Caenorhabditis elegans: one gene and its partners. The protein of the gene in region 3 interacts with the protein of the main gene of each other region in a biochemical or structural test. Each region holds a gene or a part of one and is shown on either strand. Other genes may lie near its edges.

What was found.
Region 1: of the proteins of spd-5 (region 3) and plk-1, one has a biochemical effect on the other in vitro, tested with the Caenorhabditis elegans proteins (4 studies listed by BioGRID, with this or other methods).
Region 2: the proteins of spd-5 (region 3) and spd-2 form a complex in vitro, tested with the Caenorhabditis elegans proteins (2 studies listed by BioGRID, with this or other methods).

The regions. Positions count from the first base shown.
Region 1 is NC_003281.10:8,099,705-8,104,607, reverse strand, and holds plk-1 (Serine/threonine-protein kinase plk-1), read right to left. Parts: upstream 3,261-4,903; coding exon 3,015-3,260; intron 2,968-3,014; coding exon 2,368-2,967; intron 2,125-2,367; coding exon 1,798-2,124; intron 1,752-1,797; coding exon 1,305-1,751; intron 1,256-1,304; coding exon 1,142-1,255; intron 1,094-1,141; coding exon 881-1,093; 3' UTR 539-880; downstream 1-538. Other genes in the region: K06H7.1 (uncharacterized protein), read right to left, coding at 3,970-4,114, 4,158-4,267, 4,310-4,450, 4,497-4,703, 4,749-4,880. UniProt on the Caenorhabditis elegans protein: Required for oocyte nuclear envelope breakdown before entry of oocyte into spermatheca. In meiotic cells, required for spindle dynamics and probably for spindle attachment to the chromosomes. Zygotic role in the development of the germline and nerve cord.
Region 2 is NC_003279.8:8,966,447-8,972,016, forward strand, and holds spd-2 (Spindle-defective protein 2), read right to left. Parts: upstream 3,636-5,570; 5' UTR 3,626-3,635; coding exon 3,535-3,625; intron 3,492-3,534; coding exon 3,252-3,491; intron 3,205-3,251; coding exon 2,827-3,204; intron 2,785-2,826; coding exon 2,499-2,784; intron 2,348-2,498; coding exon 1,639-2,347; intron 1,508-1,638; coding exon 1,362-1,507; intron 1,321-1,361; coding exon 1,027-1,320; intron 980-1,026; coding exon 649-979; 3' UTR 539-648; downstream 1-538. Other genes in the region: mdt-31 (Mediator of RNA polymerase II transcription subunit 31), read left to right, coding at 60-224, 275-516; F32H2.10 (Integrator complex subunit 1 R4 domain-containing protein), read left to right, coding at 3,869-3,948, 3,994-4,207, 4,253-4,361, 4,405-4,517; thoc-3 (WD_REPEATS_REGION domain-containing protein), read left to right, coding at 4,693-4,797, 4,875-5,024, 5,071-5,182, 5,228-5,334, 5,441-5,570. UniProt on the Caenorhabditis elegans protein: Required both for centrosome duplication and maturation. Required for pericentriolar material (PCM) recruitment.
Region 3 is NC_003279.8:5,170,780-5,178,532, forward strand, and holds spd-5 (Spindle-defective protein 5), read right to left. Parts: upstream 5,876-7,753; 5' UTR 5,819-5,875; intron 4,758-5,818; 5' UTR 4,743-4,757; coding exon 4,691-4,742; intron 4,640-4,690; coding exon 4,452-4,639; intron 4,405-4,451; coding exon 3,307-4,404; intron 3,260-3,306; coding exon 3,178-3,259; intron 3,133-3,177; coding exon 2,735-3,132; intron 2,687-2,734; coding exon 2,473-2,686; intron 2,430-2,472; coding exon 1,544-2,429; intron 1,495-1,543; coding exon 1,244-1,494; intron 1,194-1,243; coding exon 862-1,193; intron 811-861; coding exon 715-810; 3' UTR 523-714; downstream 1-522. Other genes in the region: Condensin-2 complex subunit hcp-6, read left to right, coding at 1-325, 370-522; npp-6 (NUP160 middle TPR domain-containing protein), read left to right, coding at 6,057-6,138, 6,193-6,497, 6,546-6,671, 6,722-7,365, 7,424-7,753. UniProt on the Caenorhabditis elegans protein: Plays a central role in centrosome maturation and mitotic spindle assembly during the first division of the zygote. Required for the centrosomal localization of air-1 and zyg-9. Probably not required in late embryogenesis and during larval development.

The DNA.
Region 1 (4,903 bases), on a different chromosome or scaffold from region 3:
GCACACTGATCGGCAATCGGCAATTGGCGATCGCCGATTTTTTTTTGGCAATTTGTGATCGGCGATCGCCGAAAAAAAAATTTCATCGGCGATCGCCGATTTTTTTGGCCGGCTGCTCAGCTCTGCTCTAGATCTCTAGAAATCCAAAATTCAAGCAGAGAGCAAAAACAATTTAAACTATTGTATTTTTGATTTCATATAACAGTTTATGTCCAACTGTTACAGTAAAGCAGATCCCATTGGCATAATTTGAGACTATTTGGAATCGAACCTGTTTGGATATAAAATAAGTGACGGAAACTGTTCAGAGTGGCAAGTAATTAAACAGAACATTTGTTACTTTGCGACCGTGATCTTTGTAACAATCATGTTCAAATAATTGTCTCGGAATCAGTAAATATTATACACGCTTTTTCGAAAATTCTGAAATGGAAAGTTGAGGCAGATGAGCAGCTCAACTTGATTTTTCCCAATGTGCTGCTATCTACCAAAAATGAAATTGTCGAGAAAGTTTGGAAAAATGAAGAATACAGTTTAATAATCATCGGTACGTTTTATTTCGTGGGACTAATACCAAAAAAAGATGATTCAATTAGCAAAAAGAAATAAAAACGCAAAATAAAAATCGCCTCGCCCATGAATACAAACGAATGAAAAAGGGCTACAGCGGGTCTCATCAGTATTTACAATGAAATGAGCTACGGGAGATCGAGGACGGGGAATAAAGACATGTTGGATGCTGAAACATGGGACTAAAAGGGTCGATGAAAAACAGCAACAATAAATGAAGAGTACGGGTTAAATGTATAGAATAATACTTCTTGGAATTAATCAGGAGATGTAAGCAAATTCATGGAAGTGGCAAAGAGCACATACGGATCTATCGACGTGGGTGAATATTGGATCCACTTGCCGACTGGGGAAGGTGCGATGCAGCTTGATTTGGTCCTCGTGATCCTGCCGAAGCTGAACGAGCAGCTGCCATTGACCGTGGCATATCCGGTTGACGAGCTGGATTCTGGGATACAACGTTAGCATCGCTCATCAACCTTTCGATCATTGTCTTCGCATACTTCAGTCGGTGAAGGAATTTCTGTAAATTATACGTTATATTTGTTGATACTGAAATGGCGATTCAAACCTCTGGACATCCATTGCGCTGAAGATTGTTCAGCTTGTAGGTGAGCATACGCTTGTTTTGATCGATGAATGTAACTGCTTGCATTAATGGGCACATCATCATCTTGACATGATCCTGAAAATTATATTGTTGGGTGTTTCCATTAAATTATGAATTTGCTTACATTGAAGAAATTTATCTGAACAGTTCCATTGGAAAGGTGCAAAACAATTGCTGATTTGGTTCTGAACCAAACTCGAAGCGTTGGTAAACGAGCCAAGTCATCACCAGCTCTTTGTTCAGATCCTTCTCCAGCTTTCACCAAATGGTCATTCATGTAGGATCGAAAATACTTAAGCAATGTGACTTTCTTGTTGAGCAATCCAGGCATTTCACCTGAGTGCATCGAGAAGTAGTGCTCTTTGTTGCTCTTCTCAATATAGGTCAACTCGTTTCCAGCTTGATCAAGCATGATACGAGAATTGTCATTGAAGAGAACTCCGACGGAATTGTCACATAGTTGATATCCGATGCCATACTTGTCCGAATAGTCAACCCATTTCGAAATCCAGAAAACCGGGAGGCACTCTGGTGATTGATAACCATCAAGAGCAGCTTCTTCTTCTTCCAGCTGTAACAAACTTTTAATTTAAAAAAAACCTCTTGTTTATTCTTACCCCTGGAATACGCTGCTCTAAGAGCACAGCAACTTGGTGGAAAAGTTGTGAAAGGTATGCATCCTCGGGCTCCCGGAAAGTCGCCTCTGCAGCTTGTTGTTGAGCACGCTCACGATCGGCATTGTTCGACACGATGTGTTGTGGGAGGGCAGACAATCCAGCTCTTCCGTTCAATGGGCGTTGTGAACGAGCATCAACCCCTCTTGGAGCAACATTTTCCTCCATCATCGAAGTTTCGTGTCCTCCGAACTTTGGCACCATAGTGAGGCAGGAGACTGGAAGTCTAGTCGGCATGAATCCTGACTTGAAGAAGCCATCGCGTTGAACCTGTAGGGTTTTCATTCCGAGTTGAAGAGATTTCATAACTTATTTAAATATTCGAACTGATTTTTTAAAAATTGTTTTCGATCTCTTTACTAATTAGAACGAAGGGCAATCAAACTGAACGTGAACTATCTCTCAATAAAAGTTCACGATAAAATTCAAAAGTACAAATTTTCTAATGATGAAACTCGAATCTCCGATAATACTAAAATGATTTTCACTCCAGTTCAAAACTATTGAAATTACCTGCTTGGCAGTCGGACGACGTGTTGGCTCAGGATCAAGCATCTTGCGGATTAGGCTTGCTGCTGGTTGTGTTGCGATCGACGGAATGGTGTAGTTGTTGTGGCGAATGCGTGAGTATGTCTCTTCAAGCGATTTAGACTCGAATGGTGGTTGTCCGAAAAGAAGAATGTACAGAATGCATCCAACTGCCCAAATGTCAACTTCAAATGAGTGTCCAGCTTTGTTCAAAACCTCCGGAGCTATGTAGTTTGGCGTTCCACACAACGTTTTCTTTCTCTCATCACCGTTGACCGTTGTTGCTAATCCGAAATCTCCAATTTTGACAACTAGATCATCATTGAGGAAAAGATTTCCAAGCTTCATATCACGATGAATGATGTTCAGATCATGCAAATACAGCACGCCATCCACAATTTGATGAGTGAAATAACGAGCTTCAGGTTCGGTGACCGCCTTTCTTCTTTTGTGCAACTCCATCAGCGACCGTCTTGCACATAACTCCAAAGTGATATACACGTTGAGATTGTCCTCGAAGAAGTTGAATAACTTCACGATATTGATGTGTCCAAGCTCTCGATGAATCTGCACCTCTTGTGTCATCTGAAAAATCGTAATATGCACTGAACTAAGATTCGTTCATTGTCTACCTTATCTCTCTGGTATTGCTTGACGAGCATCGACTTCGGAACCACTTTTCCAGCGACAACCTCGCGTGTTGCTCGATTCGTAAGCTCATAACAGTGAGCGAATCCTCCCTTGCCCAAAAATCGTCCTTTCTCATAATAGGTCCCACGATCCTTGTCGGCGATGAGAGCGGGAACCTCTGGTGGAGCCTTCTCCTTTCTTTGGTTGGACTTTTGTGGGGGTTTTGCAATGTTGGGAAGTCGATTCATCTGAAATGCAACACAAAAATTAAAATATTCAGTATTAATAATTGAATAAACGTTTTTATTTCTAAAAATGACAAGAGGCGAGCTGGAAACTTGAAAAAGAATCGGTAAAAGTCATTTTAGGACGAAAATGGCGGACGGCAAATTCGAATGTTGATGCTTGGCGGGCGCAGGTCTCGCAGCGAACCGTGTGTCGATTTACGCGCCGATGAAAAAGGGTGCTAAACAAAACAGCGCGCTGTCATCGATCAAACATTTTCTGGTCAAACATAAATATCACGGAGACATTGATTTAAAAAACGGTTTTAAAAATTGAAAAATTTATTATTCAATGTACTTTCTGCAATAATTTTGTACATTAATGTTTTAAAAATTAGCAACGAACCTTTTTGGGCTTGTAACAGAACATTTGCACGTGTGTTAAACGATGCCAGATGTTAATAAAAGAAAAATTAATTTTAAATGGATTAATACGTATATTTTATGGCGTACGTAATACATTTTTACCACGTGTCTTCCACGTCTTACCGTCATTTGGAGAGAAGGCAGCTTCTCTTTTTGGATTAGTGGTAAGTTTTCGTGGTTTACACGCCTTTCTTTGACGATTAAAATGGATGGAAAGAGATACTATAACAATTTTATTTAATACATGAGATAGGATATTTAGCTTCAAAAACACTATATTTCCAAGACGGCATCTCAAAACATAAAATTATGAAAACGCAACAATGTTATACGGTTTGAAATTGTCAGTTGAATCTTTCAAAACCAGCAAGGACGTTTTCTTGTTATTCTCATCTGGAACACTGTATACATCAACTGGCTCGAAGCACTCAGTTTTGACATCAAAGCGCTCTCTGAAATTAATTCTAGTTTGCCTAACATCAGTTTTCTGCTCACTTTCTATCATAATTCGTACACTTCAAATCTCCTGTGACTTTTTCAACATTCACGTGTTTAGTGAAAAACCATTCTAGGACAACAAATTGATCATTTAAGCTGAGACGTTTCTGAAAAATAACAATTCTTCATTCCATGATGATTTTCAATACCTTTATCGCATGAGCAACTATATTTTCATCAATTCTGTCCGAATAAAAAGAAAAATTTGGAATTGCAATACACAATGCTAGAAATTGGTCGGTTGAGAAAGAACAGTGCTCCATAATACTCAGTGTTTTGCAATTTTGGAACTGAAAATGTATTGTACCAAAAATATTCAAAAATAAACATACTTACATGTGGAAGATCAAATATCTTGGACGGAATATCAAGTGGATATTCTCCATGAGGAGCAATACACAGCTCATTTAGAGAGTTCGGATCAACTCTTTCAATCCACCACTCCAACATTTCCAGAGATTCCATTTTTAGAAAAAGCCTTCTAACGATGATTTTTGGAATGTTCAAAAGCTCATTCGAACTACAAATACATTTGCTTGCTTTCTGAAATATCAAAATACGCGGAATTCAGATTAATTTTTTAACTACCAAGTCTATAAAAAGCTCGTCAAGCCTATAATTACAAGCTTCCAATCTTTCCAAAAGAACTCCTGAAATTTCAATCTCCGGAACTTGGAGATCTTTCATTTTTCCTAGTCGACTTGTATATACAATTGTAATCTAAAAATTTATGATTTAATTAA
Region 2 (5,570 bases), 3.8 Mb from region 3:
TATTCTAAGTTTCTTGTTTTTTTATGCACTCTTTTTCCTGCAAATTTCATATTTTCCAGTTCTCGCGCAACGTGGTTATTTCAAAGAAGAATATTTTGTCAACTATCTCAAATATCTTCTCTATTGGAAAGATCCTCAATATGCCAGATGCTTGAAATTTCCTCAATGTCTGCACATGCTTGAAGCACTGCAGAGTCAGCAATTTCGCGATTCGATGGCTTACGGTAGTTCAAATTTTATTTAATCTATCAGAAGAATAGTAACTTATTTTCAGGACCAAGCGCGAAATTCGTAGAAGATCAAGTGGTTCTCCAATGGCAGTTTTATCTTCGGAAACGGCATCGTTTGTGTATGATGCCTGATGAGGGACAAGAGCTTGAAGAATCTGAAGATGAAGCTGATATTCGACAAAAGGACACAGAGGATGAAGATGATGAGGAAACGATGAAGAAACCGGATGCTGACACAGCCGAAAAGAATTCCACAACTTCTACCGTTTCAAAGAAAGAAAAATAAACATAAAAAATGTAAATCAAATAAAACTTCATCACCACTTTATTGAAATTGAAACCTACATTTTACAGAACCGTGAATTTTTTCGAAGCCTGGACAGAAATCAGAGAATATTTGGAAAGTTAGGTTAAGATTTTACTTTCTATTCGAAAATCTTGTATTGGGAACAATTGTAACGTCGTTGACAAATGTCTGATTACGGAAAGCTGTTGTCTCGAGTAGAGTAGAGTCGTCGTTGCTGCATATCTCTTTCTTCTTCCGGCTTGTAGCAGCACGGAATTCAGTTGTAGAAGTGAAAAAATTGATGAAGAAACTACGATAAGAAGCAGCGAACAGATCACGGTCCTCGGGCTTGATAGCGGGGAATCCAACTGGAACAGCACGAAGAACTTCTTCATCGGAAAATTGGAAAGATGTGAAGTCATGACCATCGATTAGTTGATGCTGTCCTGTGCGAACTTCTAGCCTAAATAATTTCAAATGTAATACCATTTCATCTGTATTCAAATTAACAATCGAAGTCTGGTTCGCATGGTTTCTTCACCCCAAACGACATGCACAAAGAATTTGGCTCCAGGAAGAATACGTCGCTGGAATGAGGATGTTGTTGAGGCTGTCGAAAGCGAAGACGATGTACGAAAATTGTTTTCATCGTGAAGATCAATATAAGATGAGTCGATGCGAATGTCAACACGCTTATCCGATTTTTTCTTTACAATGAAACCGGGTGCAGGAAAGAAAGCTACACATCCGTCTGGAAGCTGTCGCATCGCTGAGTCGAACACTTTAATCATCGCAAAGCCGTCTCTGAAAGAAATTGTTATGTAAGCGTCGTCTATTTAGCCTACCTTGTTCCTGCAGAGTTGCTGATCTTAAAAGAGATTCGTTTTGCGCATGAGGTGCACATTGCATACTCTGACTGATTTATAGTTTGTTGCAAATCTGGCGAAGTGGGCACGAACTTCGCAATTCCACCATTACCCCACATCGGAATCTGAAGAAAACATAACTTTATTATGGCTTTTGAAAAATGTATCGAATATGTTTCATAGTCAAACATAGGCAAACACACACATGTGCTTGACACGATGACATCCAATTCCATCAAATTTTTGAAAAACATACCTTATGTATAAAATTTTGTGCCGGTACTTCGATACTCATAATAACTTGATAACGTCCGACAGAACTAGGAGAAAAGGATACTTGAAACTTGATACTCTTTTTTGGATCAACCATAGTTAGCTTGTTGTCAAGGATTTGATAAACTGGTGTGGTACTATCCGTACTGGCTCGAACAAGACACTGACGATCGGAAATGTTTTCCACTTCGACTTCAACTCTCAATGTCTCGCCGACTGCAACACAACCGAATGCCACGCGTTTAGCATGAATTCGCAATGGCTTTGATACTCCAGAAAATGTGGATCCTGCATATACCGTCGAGGTCGAAGAAGCACGGGACATTGTGCGCACCGAACTGACCGAATCCCGTCCATCGCGTCCATGGGACAGTGAAACATTGCCATTATTGGCCGGAATGACGGTAGAGACGGATGTGTTCGAAAAACCACCACCATGATTACGAGATGAACGACTAATATCCGTCCTTGCAGTGGAGATTGTGCTCAAGATACTCGTCATGCTTGCTGTATTAGAATTAGTGGCATCTGCCATTGATGCATTCTGCCTAAAAGTCTCCATCGCTTTTCGGCTCGTCGTCAAATCTTTGGATGATGCTGCAGTTGTGTTGTCGTTGGACGTCGAGGATACGACATTTCCAGAATGTCGTGCAGATGTTGGCTTTATAGGAACACGAGTTCGCGTAGTGTTTCTGAAAGAAAAAATTATAAAACTGAATTTAAAAACGCACTAACTTTTTCAACTTAAATAAACATAATATTACTTAAACCGCGATTTTACGAATTTCAGGAAAAAAACTATACTTTTGTATAACGTTACAAATTGTTTTTCGGAATGCTTACATTCTGAAATCTGGCTTCGACGGTTGAGCAGCTCTTCTTTTACGAGCTTCTTCTAATGCTGCGAACAGATCTTGATTCTTATTGTTTCCATTGAGCACTCTTCGAACCATTGACTCATTAATAGTTTGATTTGTCATCATTGTTTCAGAATGTGCATGCGAATAAGACGAAGTCGGCATCTGTTGTCCCGTAGAGATTGATGTATTCTGGTGTTGTGGACTACCAACGTAGATGCTTGATAAATCGAAATTAGGCCCTTGGTATTGACCGATTTTCCGATTAGTTGCTGAAAATATTGTCGTAACAAAGTTTAAATTGAAAGTCTCACGTCTTTTAGGAGTGCTCGTTTTCTCGTCGTGATTTGTGGAATTCATCGGTGATGTGATAAATGCCGATTTATCAGATGTTGTCGGCACATTTTCGTCATTATCCCTCTCCACGATTTCGTTGTCATTGGCTCCTGGCTTTGCTCTAGCTTGGGGAATCAATTTATTTTTTCGATGATTCAAGTTTCCGAAGACGGGCGAATTTGTTTGAATGTCGGGAGGTGGTTGCTTATCATAATGGTGTATGGACGGCTCCCAGGAGTGATGCTTGTCTTTAGGCGGCGATGCTCCGTTCATAAATTTTGAAGTTTCAGGAAAAAGCAGGTCAGCTTTGTTTTCATCAGCAAAAACCTGATTAGTGTATTCTTCAATGGCATTCTCTGAAAATTAGAAACAAAATTAATGGTTTAAGTAGATTAAAACTAACCTCCACCACTTTGAAACTCAAATTGACTAGAAAACGACTTATCGCTCATCACGCTGGCTGGACGACTCGCACTGCGCGAGCTAGCGGCAGATCGCAAATCTTCATTTTTCTCCTCAATCGTTGTCAGGTCATTAACCTTTGGATTAGTCATGTTTGTTTTGAAGCGACCACCATTTTTGAAGTTTTTCGGTGTCTCGTGTACTTCCTCTTCTTCGAGTTCTACATCACCATCAGCATTGTCTGAAAAAGCTATTTTAATTGCATAACATGTATAATAACTTACAGAATGATTCATTATCATTGTCATCAATGGGACTATCTTCAATTTCTTCGAACTGTTCATTACAGAGATTCATTGGAGCATCATCTTCCATTTTTAATACGCTGAGAATAGAAAAAGTTTTAAAATGAATGATTTTAAAAGCGTAAACACTAATCATTTGACGGGCGCGCCAATGTTTGTTTTCTGTGTCCGCAAACACGGCCACGCGAAAATGCGTACTTTTGTATCATATTTTTTGCAATTCAAATTGAAATAACTATTTTTTTATAGTCGTTTTTAAAACATAAAATCTAAATATATTGTGAATTTCAGCGAAAAATAAAACACAAAAACAATGGGTGATATTGATGAACGAATGATGGGACGTGCTGCTAGTCAATCTCGATTTCTTCCCAATGATCAGCAAGTCATAAGGTTGGTTTTTATTAGGTTTTCTCTAAAAATTCGATAACTGTTCAGTGACCCTCTGTCCAAACAAATCTTCGAATACGAACAATCGCATACTCCAAATGATCGTGAACTGCTTGAAATAATTCAGAAAATCGAGAGAAGTAATCCGGAACGATGTTCGAAAGCACCAAAGTTCGTGTCCCAGCTGCTAACTCACAGAACGACACCTATTCGTAAATTTGCATTTGCGGCTTGTCTGAAAATCTTGGCCCATCCTCAAAGTGTAAGAATTATCAAAATGACAATAATTTCAATTTTGAAAGTTTAGCCACGGCAAATGATGCTCGATTCCTATCACTTGGCACTTGTAAATTCAAATCCTCAAGTGGCTCAACATGCTTTATCGCTTCTGCCTAAGTTTGTTGACGCCTGTCCAGGTGAATCGATAGTAATAAACTCATTTTCATATTAATCTTGCAGAAGAAGCAAATAACCTGATAAAGTTCGGATCAATAGCATACAACAGACTTCCAGCTCCATGTACTGACGTTGAAAGTTTTCTATCAAAATCTTATACCAAAGCTTCTCAATGATTGATTTATTGTTTAGATTTATGAGTTGCGACGGGTTTTCATTTATCAATAAATCGGGTATTTCATTTATTTGATTTTTCTTTGCTTCTCGGTAAAAATGGGCTTAACTTGTCCCATCTTTATACCTTATTTATAAAATTTCATGATATTCGGAAAGTATTAAAATCTAATTCAGATGACAGTGTCTTCCCGAGAACGACGATGTGCACGTCTGTTAACGGCAGCTGATGCTTCGACATATTTTGAAAAGTACAAAAGAATCAGATCAACCGATATGAAGGTATACCTAAAGAAATAATATATTTCAAGCTTTCCCACTCATCAATTTTAGAAATGAAAACTACTTTTCTATTCCAGGTCCAGCAATGCCAATCAATAGCATTTAATTGTGATGGAACAAAACTTGTATGTGGTGCATTCGACAAAAAAGTGAGCGTTGCAAATGTGGATGGAGGTCGTCTCAGATTTTCTTGGGTGGGCTCTAGTCATTCATCGTCTGTGGAACAGGTATATCGGAAATTTCCTCATCTGGTGTTAACGATTTCTATTTCAGGTAGCATGTAGTGAAAAGCAGCCAAACTTATTTGCATCAGCCAGTGCAGATAGAAACATTTGTGTATGGGACATTCGACAAAGCAAACCGACTCATCGAATTTCAAATCGAGGTTTCAAATTAACAATTTAAACTCCTAAAAATGATCGGCTTTCAGTTGGAAATTTCTTCATCTCCTGGTCTCCGTGTGACGAATATTTCATATTTCTCGACAAAGATAATCGGATAAATACAGTAGACATTCGGAATTATCAAGTTGTAAATGTGAGTTTCAAGAGCTATTTAGCAACTTGAGATTTTTAGGATTTTGCTAGGATTGCTTGTAAAGTTGTAAAGACGATCAAAACATTTTAAATTTAATTATTTTCAGTCCTATGAAATGAAAACTTTCTCCCACGAGCTAACATTTCACCCTTTGTCGAACCACGTATTCGTAGCAGAGTCTGGAGGAAAAGTTGAAATTCTAAAGTTCGCCGGTGGAGCCCTTGAACCTGTGACTT
Region 3 (7,753 bases):
CAATATTTCGGCCAACGTCACTTTGCGTCGTAGTCGTCGGGGTCAGTCAACAGAGCCACCAGTCGTGAAAGAGAATTCTAATCGAAAACGGAAATCTGTTGACGAGGAAGAGGAAAATGTGCCAACAAGTTCATCTGGTAACACTGAAAATGATCCACTGTCACGCGGAGTGACTCCGTTGATTTTCGATGAAAGTAAGCTTGGTGCAGGACGTCATTGTTCAACTCCGATTCGATCACGAGAAGACGCAGATCCAAGCGATGTCACATTCTCCCTTAATTTGTCGGCTATTACCGAAAAGGAAGACTTGAAAAACAGAAGTAAGGTATTCACAATTTCTTGAATTTACAAAACGCCTTAATTTTACAGAAAGTCAAGCTTATCACCTTCACAATATCTTCGAAGAGGATGAAGAGGAAAGCTGATCAATGTCATTGTATAAATCTTCCATCGAAATTTGTCTTATTTATCTCAACTGTTTGTATTATTGTAAGATTGTCCGCTGTTTTTTCATTAAATTAATCTGTTCCTTTTATTATCTGTAATGGGATTGCAGTCAACTACCAGAAAAGAAGCATTTAATTCACAAGTACATTGATAGATGCATTAGGTGTATCTTTAGGCTGGGAAAACAATACAATCGTTACAAGTTAATCTTGTCGAGATGATAGTGTTGATAAAACTGGTTCCATTTTAATACATTAACAGATCAGTTCACTTTTTGCGAATTTCCTTCACAGCTCCTCCCATATCAGTTGCGATTTTGCCAATTTCCGTTTTGATTCTGTCTTGAAATTCGACACCAAGTGTCTGAAAATGATATTTTTCAAAATAGATTTCAATAGAAAAAGAATTTCATACCGGGATGGCGGATTTTGTCAGTTTCAGTTCCTTTTTGTACTTCTTGATTTGCTCCTCAAGCATCAAGTTATCCTGATGCAATTGTCCGAGATCTGTGATCAGTTGATCGACGGTCTCGTTCTTCCAATTGGACATATCGATTCCTTTGAATAGAATGAGCTTCTGATGGAGGAAATCGCGAAGAACTCTGGATTCATTGATGACGTTGCCAATCGTCTCCTTAAGCTCTGGACCCATTCCTGACATATTGTGAGTCTTCTTGAGTTTCTGAACAATTGCGTCGACAGCCATAGTTGATTCGTGGAGCAATTGTCGAGTAGGGCTCGTGTAATCTGGAGAATTGGTGAAAATTCAACTTCTGATGTGCATAAGTATGACTTACGAGGTTGAGCACACTTTTGATTCGATGTTTTAGTAGGCATGCCACTGACCGATGTTCCAACTGGTGGGACATTCTCGTTATTAGAGCTCATCATTTTCAGCTCATGTTCGAGAGCATCTTTCTCTAATTGAAGCTTTTCAATTTTTTCATTGACGTCTCTCATAACTTTCGCGTATTCATGCTGTTGCTCTCGTTCCCTGGAAAGACGACGACAGAGTTCATCGCAAACGAGTTGAATCGATGAGATGTTGCTGAAAATGTTCTCAAATAAAAAAAAACAAGCACGACGTTTGATAATACCTTGGGATAATCTTGGCTTTCAAAGTCTTCTTGGTTAGCTCAGATATCTCCTTACTGATACGTTCCAATCCTACAATAGCGGCATTCTCAAAATCTTCGCGATACTTCGCCAACTCAATTTCCTTCTTTCTTTCTGTCATCTTCGTAGAACAATAGTCGGCCGCAATTTCTGAAGTCGACAACTTCTCCATCTCAGTCTCCAAATGAACAATTCTTTCAAGCATTTCAGATTTCTCGGATGAAGCATGTTCAACTTTATTTTCCGCCTCTTTTGTTCTCATTCTCCACCCATTCAATTCTTCACTCAACTCATCTGCTAGATTTTGGGATTTTTTTTCTTCCTCCAGCGCGGTAGATAACTCGCTTTTCAAGAATTCATCGCTCTTCTTTGCTTCATTCAATCGCATCCCCATATCAGTAATGGTTTTCTTGAGCTCATTTTCCTCATGTTTTAGAGAACTGATGAGCTGACGAGCCTCTTCCAATGCATTTTCAGCTTTGACACGAGTCTCCTGTTCACCATCCACACGAGCCAACGCTTCATTGAGCTCGCATCGCACTTCTCCAAGCTTAGAATTAACTTGATGGAGATTGGCTTCGAGTTCAGCAAATTGACTTTTCAATGTAGAATTTTCCTCTTTAGCCTTTTGTAGCGTTGCTTCAGATACTTCGAGATCTTCAAACATGCGATTGGTGTTGATCTGCACATCCGACAATCTTCCAGACGAACCGTTCAATGGAGATCTCATATCTCGTGTACGAGCCATCTCCAATTCATTTTTCAACTCCGATACCTCATTCTGAAGCTTTTCCACTATGTCTGAATTGCTTGTAAACTTGAAGAGTGGACTATACGAGGCATTGAGAAGAGAAGATGAGGCGACATCTGGAAAATATTGATTTATGAGCGTCTCTAAAATTTATATTACCTTCAGCATCGGGTGCAATAGTGAATCTTCTCGAAGCTTCCGCAGCCTGACTAACTATCGACTTCTCGAGAATTGAGAAATTGAGTGACATATTATGAAGATCCTTCTCCGCTGCTTCCAAGATGGCAGATACATTGAGCTTGTCGTTAATACTTGTTTCAAATGCGAGCTTCATTTTCTTGATCTTATCCGCATTTGGATCACTGGATCCCATCTACAAAAAACTCAGATTTACAGATTCACAACTTGACAGTTTTCATACCCTTTCAAGAATCTCTTCAAAAAGAGCAGCAGAAGATTTAAGTCTTTCGAAAAGTCGAGCAAGAGCCTCTCTGATCTGGGACATTTTCTCTTGCATTTGCTCAACATTTACAGCTACATCATGCTGGCCTTCAAGGAACATTGCAGAAGAATCCAGAATTTGTTGCATATCGTGCAGAATTGGAATGTGACTTTGTGACACGTGAGGAGAAGCAGTCTTCGTAGAAAACGAATTATTCTGTATTTGTTCGCCAGCTCCCTCGGATTGATGGCTCTTCAGGTGAAGATGAAGTGATTTTGGTTTCTGCATTACAATCGGAGAATTCTTGAAAGACTTCTGACTGAGGAACGATTGAGTTGCATCTCTACCAGGTGGTGGCATTGACGAATTGAAGGAACCTAACAATAATCAATTTCAAAAAATCTAGGAATCAATTTTACTACCTTCAAGGGTGTCATTATGGTTGTTCTGCAGGCTGTCTTTCACTGACTCGAAATCTTCCCACATGGAGGCAAATTGTTGCTGCTAAATATTCAAGACTTTATTTTAAATAATAATTTTCATACACTTACATTTCGAACAGCAGATGATGTATCCATGAGCGGCAATTTGCTTTCTTCAAGATCATCTAATTGACTTTCTCTGGGAAGAATGCGCATCGATGTTCCGCCAGTCTCATTTCCTTGTCCAATGCTATCGACATCATTAGTCGCAATACCAGCCATCAGTCGACTTTGTCCCAGTGAAATGCTAAGATTTCCATCGCCTCCGGTCAATTGATCACAACGAATGCGGAGTTCTCGATTTTCAGCTCTCAACACATTCAATTCACCGTTCACCTTTCCTATTTGGATTTTAAGCTCGTCGGATGTCTGACCACCAAGCAACATGGAAGAAGAATCAAATGTCGAATTTTTAACCATGGTTCGAATCTCGTGCTCAAGCTTGCTACACTTGTTCATGTATTCAACGAGTGCCTGACGAGCCTTATCATTTTCCTTCTTCGCATCAGCTAACTTCGTTTCAAGATCATCAATGTAATTGAGCTGGTCTCGCGTCTGTGATTCACGACCGTTCCCGATCATGAACGTTGAATTTGGAACCATAGCGTTTCCAGCAGCTCCGAGGATTCCTTGTCCAGTGGCCGCTTCAAGCTGAGCGCGAACATTTTCTGAATCGGCAAGCCTTGCAGATTGGTCGTCAAGTTCTTGACGGAGCTGCTGAATGTGATCTTCCAGCTCAGCTACCTTGTCGATCTCAGAGAGGAGCTTTGCCTCCAGGTCGTTGATCTTTCTTTCTTCATAACCAGAGGTTAATGTGAAATCTGGATCGTTTTTCTTCAGAATGTCATCAAGAGTTCCACGAAAAGATCCGACAGTTGTGTTGTTTGCATCAGTAGCGGACAATTCCAGTTCCTTGATTCTTTCCTCCATTGCATGCTTTTGTGCCTCAAATTCTTTCATCTGTCTGGCAAAATTGTCTTCGGAAGTTTCAATTCTCGATTGCATTGCTAGCAAATCCTCTTCCATCAGTTTGTATTGCTCCATTTTCTCTTGAACATTTTCTTGGCCTAATTTGAGATCGACATAATCGTCCATAACTTCCTTAACTCTCTTCTGCGACGCTTCCTTTGCCTCACTATACCGGCGCTGATACATTTGCAGTTCTCCCTACAAACTCAAATCATTTCTAAATAAGCATATGATAAATTACTTACTCTCAGGATAGTTATTTTTGTTTTAAGCGCTTTGTTTTCTTCCCATGTTTGGATGATGGGGATGCTACGAACATCAGCAGACGAAAATGCTCCTGACAATACTTGCTGTTGAGTGGCACTGGTCGAAGACGTTCTTTTGTCTCCTTCAACATTCAGAACTGGTTGCGACATAGATCTTCGTGGCTGGCCTAAAAAACCTTTGCATTTATGCAGTTATTGATTTTAAATGTTATAATTACCCTCGACATGCTCGAGATTGGAGTCCTCGTTGAGCACAGAATTATCCTCCATTTAACGCGAAGTTTTCTGAAACAAGAAACGGGTTCGAAAACAAAATTGAGCGTTTTTTTGGGATTAAGAGTTTTGAGTCAAAATGAACAGGAGGTTGCAAAATTTGAAGCTTCAGCACCGTTCTTTGGGCGTGCATAATCATGAAAAACAAGTGCGGACCAACTTTTGTTACTATGGAAACGTAAGAATTTCGCGGACGCGGAGAAAATTCAAAATTCACGTTTAGGCGCGCGTTTTTCTGAGGCCCCACGAAAAGGGGAGCAGAACGAAAAGGGGATCTGCAAAAAGGGGAGATACGAAAAGGGGAGCAACGAAAAGGGGAGCTGGCACTGTGCCAAACGCACAAAACGCAATTTTTCTCACGCAACGCACGTTGATTTTTGAAATTTTCTTCTAGAAGATACGCTTAACAACACGCGACGCGTAACATCGGAGCCGATGCACCATGTTTCGGATCGGTATAGGTTCAAAAGTGGTAGAATTATATAATTTATTACTGATAAATCCGTTAAATGATAAAAATGAGAAAGCTCATATATTTAACATGCGACCTGCCGGTCCAAGAGTAAAACGAAGAAGTGACGATTTCCTTGCGTGGTGTCGACGTGTTGGGGTTTGATGTGCATGTGTGGTAGTACTGTAACACGCGTGACGTGTGTGTCTTTTGGCGCGGCTTTCAAACAGGAGTTTCCCGGCTTTGTCATTGTTGATGACTCAGTATTCTGCGTATTCGCGACAATCGTTGTATCGTTTTCTTCGAGAAAAATAGCGTTTGGCACAGTGCCAGATCCCCTTTTCGTTGCTCCCCTTTTCGTATCTCCCCTTTTCGTATCTCCCCTTTTCGCAGATCCCCTTTTTGCAGATCCCCTTTTCGTGGGGCCTCGTTTTTCTTGACAGAGAAAAAGTGTGCGCATGTTGCGAAATACCATGCGGCGGTATTGCTCATGCAGCCACGCCCCTTATTTTTGAATTCGAATGGAGCTCCATATGGAGGCGTTTTCGGCTCAATTCATCATTGTTTTGTAAAATTTTACATCGCAAAGTGTCAAAATATGAAGCTTATTGTAAAAACTCACAAATTTCTAACAAGTTTTTCTTTGAATCCAATGAGAACCTTCTCGATAAGTGATTAAAATTTAAAGTGAATTGTTTTCTTCCATTTTTTCACGTATAAAAAAACGTATAAAAAACAAGTAAAACAAGTTCACGCCAATGAAAAATTGTTTTTAACGATATTTAAATATTTTTGAACGTGTTTATTTCATCTCCATATTTCTCTTTTGCTTTAACATCGTGTTTTATGCTTAATTTCAGATGGAGCTGGTTTACGGGTCGGAAATCAGCTTCACGGATGGATTTGCTATAAAGCCGGCTAGAACTTTTGTGGTAAACACCAGTAAGTTTCAATTTCATTAAATAATTGTTTCTACAACAAATTTCACTTTTTTAGATGCGCCGCTTCATTCGAATGGATTTGATGTGCAACCGTCCGCAGGAGTTGCAACATTTCCGCACTGCTCAAATTACGGCGATCGGATTTTCCTGTGGCGTGCGATTGGCCAGAAACTGTTCATTGAGGAGCGTTCTTTGCTCTACTCAATCACGGATGGATCGTTGTGCATTGACTTCACACGCACACCTATTATTCCTGGAACATCGATAACAATTTTCGAGGAAGGGGTTTTATGTATTGTCGTTCCCACAGCTTCTGCAATTCATCGTTTCTACGCGAGACTCCACTCCAAAGGCCATGATGTTTGTTCTCAAAAATTTCCATAATCGAATGAGAATAATTATTTTCAGACGTTCTCAATTCTTGCAAGAATTAAAGAAGATGACGATTTCCGCCGATTCAGAACATCTCACTCCCTTTCAACACCAGGGCGCCCGATTCGTGCAAGTGTTACACATCATCCTTCAAGAAATACGGTATAAAAATGGAAATTGATTACAACCTATATTTCGAATTTTGAATTCAGATTTCTTACTGTACCGCTGAAGGGCAGTTGGTCATTGTCACATTGGGATCATACACGGAATCCAGTGATAAACACGAAGAATTCACAATGGGAGAAGTTGGTCTTCTGGGAAAACTTCTAGGTGGCACTGATAAACGAGTCAGTGATGCATGTGTTATGAAGAATCTTCGCCCGACTTCTGGAGTCACGAGAGAGCGAAAAATTTCAGTCCAATCCGATATTGTGTTCGCTGTTACCAGAGACGGATGGGTGCAAGCATGGAATGTTGAGACGAAAAAACAATTGCCAAGCACTATTGACTTGAATAACTACTTTGCTTCAGACGGAAAATCTTTGAATCGAGATCTAGAATCTGCAGACTTCGAGGAAGAAAAGTCTCCAATGGAACCAACTGAAACTGTATATTCTATCAGAGCTTATTCATTCGATGTGGATATTCTTCTGATTGTTGGATGTGATTTGGCAGTTTCGGGAAAAAGCGTCGGGATGAGAGTTCATATTCTCAAAGTTTCAAATGATCAAATTCAACATCTACAAATGTTCGAAACATCGATGTCCGTTGATGAACGACTTGTTGATCTCGAGCTTATTCAAAACTATTTCCCATCAAAGGAATCGGAAAGTCTTGATGAGACACAAGATGGGTAAGAATCGTTGTTATAAAATGGGTTTTTTTCTTGTCTAAATATAAAATTGTTTCAGGGAATTGTATAATCCTCTCACAGCTGCACTATTTTCACTTTCTGCTCTTTTCAAAAGTTCATCTGCAAAGAAAACCTATTCGATGAAACGGATCTCATTTGCTATCCAATGGAAAAAGGGACGAGTTTTCACAGATTTCGATTGGCATTCCGTTCGTCAGTTCACTTCGCCTGCCACTACCAAAGAAGAACCGATCGGCAATACGGATGAAGTGGAACCTGCAATTGAGCGCCCATATAACCTCTCGGCAGATTCAAGCATAGAAACACTGATTGATGTGGTTTTTGATACAGATATCTATCCATTTGATATTGTTTTCCGTGCTGTCCA